2 linked regions of the Nothobranchius furzeri genome follow. The main gene of each other region encodes a partner of the protein of the gene in region 2 in a complex. Links are inferred from orthologs where the notes say so. Each region holds a gene or a part of one and is shown on either strand. Other genes may lie near its edges.

Region 1 (3,376 bases), on a different chromosome or scaffold from region 2:
AGATTTATGTAAACGACACAAAGCTGACGTTCTAAGAGCTCAGCTCAGCAGCACTGGTGCAGTTTCTGTCTTTGAAGAGATTAATGTCTGTTGGAAAAATCCATTTCAAATATATGTTCTTTATTTTTTTCATTCCAAGAAAAGCTTCTGGTCAGATGTGAATGACCTGGCATGTCTGCATCTCTTCCTGCTGACACTTCTAATCATTCTGCCATGCCGCTAACTTTCCTGCAGGTGCTGATCAAACAGGAGATTCAGAGAAAAAGCGGTTATGCCATACAAGTGGACGAGGAGCATCTCAGAGTGCAGCTGGACACCATCCAGTCAGAACTCAATGCACCCACACAATTCAAGGCAAGTGTGTCTAAAGCAGAGCAGCGTTTCCTCTCAGTACACGGGTTCAGCCTTTAAAGCAGTAAAGCAGGAAATCAACTTCAAACTAATAGAAAGGCTTTAATGTTGACCTGAAACCATCTACTAGCACATTTACACCTTTCAGTCAGGCAGTACTTTATAAAACACATTTTCATTTTTATAGTCTGTATTCATAAGTAAACAAGATTCACCATATTTACGTTTAATTGTTGGAGTCTTTGTGAATCTAAAAGAACAGAGTGAACTAGAGGCCGGCCGATATATTCAGTTTTCTCTGTATCAGCCGAAATATTTAGGCCCTGTCCACACGTAGCCGGGGATCTGCCAAAACGTAGATATTTTTCTACGTTTCGGCCTGTCATCCACACGAAAACGGAGTTTTTTCACACGAAAACGGATCTTTTTAAAAACTCCGGCCAAAGTGAAGATCTGCGTTTTCTCCGTTTTGGGGGTCTGCGTGTGGACGGACAAAACCGGAGTTTTAAGGTCCGCAACGTCACTCTCCGCGACAAAAAAATGCTGACATCACGTGTTCGACCTGTGTTTACATTAGCCGGCATCATGGAAGCCCTCAGAGCTGCGCTCTGTCACTACCCGATCCATCAATTGTCCAAGCGCTTTCTGCTTGTTTGTTTTTGCAAGCGGAATTACTGCTCCTTGCGGAAGACCACAGACAAAGTACGAGGTTAAGAACGGGGGAAGTACTGCCGTCTACAGGTCTGGCATGTCCTTAACAACGTATTTATCCGGGTACGTGTGGACAGAGTTTGTTTTTAAAACGCAGTGGTGTGGATGCAAGTTTTTGGAGGGGCGGATATTCGTTTTCAAAAAACCCGGCTATGTGTGGACTAGGCCTTATTACAGCCGAAATATTTATTACAAGCCAATTAAAAAAAAAATCAGTCATTCGTGTGGCCAACTGCCTCCATTACTAAATTGAAGAAGGGACCCGAAGGACCCCAACACAGTCGGTTTTTTTTTATGTTTTGAGTTTGTTTTATATTTGAAGTTCAATAAATATTAAAAGATTTACAGACTTATTCATTTATTTTGCACACAGTGAGTGTTTAGTTGTCTTTCGCAATCAATGTGCTGCTGAAACACACATGCACACAAACACACACACAGAAATTGAATACACCTTCCAGTGCTACTTGGACACGTCATCAGTGAAGAACCCGGGGTCATAGGGTGTTTCGGGTCTTTAATCTTCATACACCCTCACCCGGGCGACCCAGCTGCCACACACACACACACACACACACACACATATAATAATCTGCTATAGACATCAGCCATGGGCAACAAAATTTTTAAAAAATCGGTATCGTCCTTTAAAAATAACCATATTGCTCGGCCTCTAGAGTGAACTTTGCAGCTATTAAATATTAAACTAGTTCTGCTTTTAGGACAAGCTCCATTTATTAATGTTGTGTTTGTGTCCTCTGGTCTTTCTCAGGGCCGGTTGAATGAGTTAATGTCTCAGATTCGAATGCAGAACCACTTTGGGGCTGTGAGGTCAGAGGAGCGCTACAGCGTTGATGCTGGTCTTCTCAGAGAAATCAAACAAGTAAGAGTCTACCTTTGCTCTTTAAAATCTGTCCTTTTGCTCCTGAACTTTTACTCAAGTTTCTAAAAACAAAATCCTGAACTTGTGACCTGAAGACTTGATACTTCTTGAAAAACTTCTTATATTGATTTTCTGAGTGAAAAAGAAGGAAAAACACCAATTATTTGCTTAAATTAAATAACAACTCATTGTGATAATTCCACGTGTTCGAGATCTCTAAAAGCACAGCTTTGTGTATCATGGCGGTTTATTTTAAACAGTGTTTGCGTTTCTCACACGTTCAGCACTTGAAGCAGCAGCAAGATGGTTTAAGTCACCTGATCAGCGTCATTAAAGAAGACCTGGAGGACATCAAACTGATAGAGCATGGACTGAGTGATCGTGGCCACACGAGAGGAGGCATCCTGAGCTGAGCCCAGGAGCCTGAATCAGTCTGGAGCGAGGCGTGCTTCTCACCCAGACCAGATATGTCTCGACCACAGCTCCAAAGGTCTAAATGAACAGACTCGGAAAGGATCTGTTTGCTCTCTTCTTGTGTTTTTGGTGGGTTTATTAAATCACACCTTTTTTAATCAATAAAAGAAAGCTTCTCTACATTCAGAAGCCTGATGGAGACTCAGTGGTGTCTAATAAAGCTGGCTACCCTTCAGTCTAATCAGATTATGGATTTGATGCGACTATAAATGTCTGGAGCAAGTAAACAAGGTAGGATTAAATGTGCTCCATGGTCTGAAACTATGTAAATACATGTTTGTCTTTCTTTTTTACACTATTAGAATAATAATAAATTTAGTGTAAAGCTGATAACAGTTGCGCTTCTTTACTTTGATTCAGGCTGAAATTTTAAAATTTCCACCTTTTTACTGGCCATTTTTCTGCCATGTTGGATTTCATGTTTAGACAGTTTGTTTATACGAGTCGTCTGACCTTCTCTGTTTACCTCCTCAGACTTTCACTTACCTGCATCTCATCCGAGCACGGCTGGAGCTAATAGGATTTATGTTGTGGATTTGCTTTCCTTTTGGGGTGAAGGCTTTCACACAGATTATTTCCCATCATGCAACAGTGTCGCCCACATCCAAACGTTCTGAATTAAATGTCAAAGAACAAATGAAAGTAAACATGAAAAATATTTTAAAAAGAACATTTAATAACAAGACGTGAATTTTAAAGTAAAGTATATTCCATAAAGCTTTAAAAGGGTAGAAGACACATGCGTGTCAGTAACTCCTAAAGCTCCGGGTCAATCCAGCCATCAGGTGTGTGAGGAGAGGTCCACCAGACGAAAGGCCTCCATGAACTATGTCTGAGCCAGATCAGTGATGGCCTCATCACTGATCTCCATCTTCAGATTTACAAACATTTGGCCTCAGCTACATTTCCATAAGAGCAACCCTACATACATAAGTAGTTTTCAGTGCTTGGTTTTGT
Region 2 (3,756 bases):
AACTTGAGCTTTAATAAAAAGGATGATTTAGAACAATGCGTGCCAGAAAAGATCACAACGTTGTCGCAAGATGTCAGATAAAAAAGAGCTTTCCATTCTCTGGTGGTGTTTATGTTTTTAAAATAGCATCAATATGTGAAGGCATCAATAACTTACTATATACTAGTATAAATACAAGCTCATTCATTAATTTCTATACCTTTTATTGTTTTTAAAGGAGGACATGTTGAGTTTATATGGACATTTAAAAGAAAAACTTCTGTGGCACGTTCTTTCACTCTTGTTTCAAATAATGTCAGATTTTTCATTTCTAAATAATTTTGTGCCACTTGAATTATTTCACTGACAGAAACGTATGCAGCTCATGGAACAAGAACAAAATAAGTTTGTGTGAAGATTTTTGTTTTATCACAAAACGTCACACAGTTGTGCAGCTATGTCCATGTGCCCATAAACTGTGTTACATAATGAAGTAGCTCTGGGGCTTGTGCCCCAGATGACCAGATCATTGCACAGTTGAGTCTGGAAGCAGGAGTTCAGCACCCATCTGCTCTTTGTGATTCACGCTTCAGTGTTTTTGTTTAGAGCCGACAAAAAAACAAACAGAAAATATCATTCCATTGGCTGCATTGTATTAGGTCATTTAAAATATATATGTTTATTAAAAGTATCAATTAAGACAAGTGGCAGGGATAAATGAAAAATGAAAAGATTTGTTTCATTTATTTCACGTGTACGGTGTTAGGGTTGTGATGTGTCCCAAGTATTTTACTCTCGATGCTTCTAATCATTTTTAATATAAGTTCTATTTAAAGCAATGCAGGGATACAAATATACGTACAAAGAACAAATATGTACACTGTTAAATATGTTATGTTAGTCGGAAAACAAAAAATGACACACATGAAAATAATAGGTATCTTTTGCTTTTGACTAGGATTCCCCAAGTACCCTGAAGGAGGCATGTGACGACAGACGCATGCGCACCGTTATACAGTCTGAATTGACCAATCACCGACGACTTCAGAAATACCGGGGTATACTTTCTGCGGACTACGCTTGCCTGTGAACGAAACTATCTAAAAAGCACATTTATTCACTTACATGAGGCGAACAGGCTGAACTGTAATTTCATCCAACTTTAAAACAGGTATAATAATCGTCTCCATTCAACTGTAGAGAAATTTAACATCAATTTAAATGAAGTCGAAACATGTGCGAGCGTTAGCATCTTAGCCAGCTCGCTAACCGTTTAGCGTCGCCGGTTGATTGTAACTAGGCTATGTTGTAGCATGCTACCACGGTTTTGGAATGTCTGGTACGAGTTTTCACATTTCTTAAGCAGTTTCAATGTCTGAACTTATCTATCGAACGGTATTCTGTTGACGTCCGTAAAGATTGATCTCTCAACTCGTCAAGCACATCATGCGCGCGCTGCAACTGTTCAGCTGTAATCTTTCTCATGTTTACCTTTCAAGCCTTTTCCCCCATGACGCATTTTTACGTTGGTAGATAAATAGTACAGTTTGTTATAACTCCAGGCAGCATAAAGAATTATAGGTTAGACCATCCAATTTTTAAAAGTAGTGTTTTATATCTTCAGTTATGCTGTATCTCAATGTAAACACAGGGTAAACTTGTTTTTATTTAATTAATCAAAAAGCTGCAAGGCAAGGAGGAGCTTTTATCCATGCATCATAAAAGTTATAACGTGACTGTAGAAGTGCACACTTGTCTAAAGTGAACATTGACTTCTTTGGGCTCTGAGCTGACGCATCTAAGATGAATCATAAACTGTAAAACATAGAGTATGTTTTTGGGTTCAGTTGTTTTTTAACTAAGGAGTTTGAAATGATTGTGATTGTAGTTGTTTACTATTTGATTACGGAGCATCATGTTCCCTTCAAGACAGTTGCACTCTGTCATTACTGACAGAGATACTGGCAAGCTATCCTGTCATGTAATCTGTTGTCTTTAATTACCTCTAACACAAAGTCTGTACAGTGTCAAACATTGTAAAATCACAACGTATTTTTGTTTATATTCCACATACTATTTTAAAGTTAAGCAAATTATGAAAATATTATATATTTTTTAGTGGAATATTTTATTGCACAAACCCAGACCCGCAAAACACTTACCATAGAGAACTGTTCAGTGTTTTCATTTCAAGTAAATCACATTTATAAACTTCTCTACCTGTTAAGAGTCATGGATGCAGAAGGGTTTGGAGAGCTTTTGCAGCAGGCAGAACAATTGGCTGCAGAAACAGAAGCTGTGTCTGAACTGCCACATGTGGAAAGGAACCTTCAGGAGATCCAGCAGGCTGGGGAAAGGCTTCGATCCCGCACCTTAACTCGCACCTCTCAAGATGCTGCAGATGTGAAAGCGTAAGCAACCTTTTTGGTTATTAAACCCTTTTCTTCCCCAGGTTATTAATCTCAGGCATGATGTTCAATTGATAGATTACTTTGCCTGCCAGCCTAGCCTGCCATCTAGTGGTGTCAATGTAAAATTACTTCTCTGCCAGTTGAAACCTCTCCAATCTTTTGTTCTTGTAACAGGTCCATCCTCCTTGGTACCAGAGGTTTAGACGTCTTCCACATTTCACAGAGACTGGAAACTCTAAGTGCTGCCACCACCTTTGAGCCCCTGGAACCAGTCAAGGACACTGACATACAGGTATGAATGAAACGAGAAGCCTTGGGTCCTGACACCTGCTAGCAAGTCTCTAATGCTTCAGATGCCTTACTAGTGCAAGCCTCATGTAAGATGAATAAGATAAACTTTTAATGCTCTAATGGTTGCGTGTGCCAAGCCTTTTTAAACATCCCCAACAGGACTTAAGGCTGCCAAATGTTTTCTAACTGATTGCTTATATTATTCCCTTGACATCAGTGGAATATGATTCTGTGCTGTGACACAGTGAGGCTTTCAGGAAGGTTGATGTTATAGGGCTCATAACAAACACTGTAAAACTAGATAATTGTGATTAATTCAGTCTCTTATCAGAGATAAGTGAAAAGAAAAACACTTAAAATTCTGAGCTCAGTGTTGGAAATAATCCCCTTGGATTTTAGCTTGGCAAGCCATCATCTATCTATCTATCTATCTATCTATCTATCTATCTATCCATCTATTCATCTATCTATCTATCTATCTATCTATCTATCTATCTATCTATCTATCTATCTATCTATCTATCTATCTATCTATCTATCTATCTATCTATATCTATCTATCTATCTATCTATCTATCTATCTATCTATCTATCTATCTATCTATCTATCTATCTATCTATCTATCTATCTATCTATCTATCTATCTATCTATTATCTATCTATCTATCTATCTATCTATCTATCTATCTATCTATCTATCTATCTATCTATCTATCTCTATCTATCTATCTATCTATCTATCTATCTATCTATCTATCTATCTATCTATCTATCTATCTATCTATCTATCTATTATCTATCTATCTATCTATCTATCTATCTATCTATCTATCTATCTATCTATCTATCATCTATCATCTATCATCTATCATCTATCTATCTATCTATCTATCTATCTATCTATCTATCTATCTATCTATCTATCTATCTATCTATCTATCTATCTATCTATCTATCTATTATCCATCATCTATTATCTATCTATTATCCATCATCTATTATCTATCTATTATCCATCATCTATTATCTATCTATTATCTATCTATCTATCTATCTATCTATCTATCTATCTAT

The links.
Region 1: nup93 (region 2) and nucleoporin p54 share a complex: the UniProt entries of both Homo sapiens proteins name them as parts of the p62 complex. The link is inferred for Nothobranchius furzeri from reciprocal best matches to the Homo sapiens genes NUP93 and NUP54.

The regions. Positions count from the first base shown.
Region 1 is NC_091746.1:59,732,489-59,735,864, forward strand, and holds the end of nucleoporin p54, read left to right. Parts: intron 1-234; coding exon 235-354; intron 355-1,834; coding exon 1,835-1,945; intron 1,946-2,229; coding exon 2,230-2,358; 3' UTR 2,359-2,752; downstream 2,753-3,376. UniProt on the Homo sapiens protein: Component of the nuclear pore complex, a complex required for the trafficking across the nuclear membrane.
Region 2 is NC_091744.1:86,665,470-86,669,225, forward strand, and holds the start of nup93 (nuclear pore complex protein Nup93), read left to right. Parts: upstream 1-995; 5' UTR 996-1,150; intron 1,151-2,207; 5' UTR 2,208-2,211; coding exon 2,212-2,390; intron 2,391-2,564; coding exon 2,565-2,682; intron 2,683-3,756. UniProt on the Homo sapiens protein: Plays a role in the nuclear pore complex (NPC) assembly and/or maintenance. May anchor nucleoporins, but not NUP153 and TPR, to the NPC. During renal development, regulates podocyte migration and proliferation through SMAD4 signaling.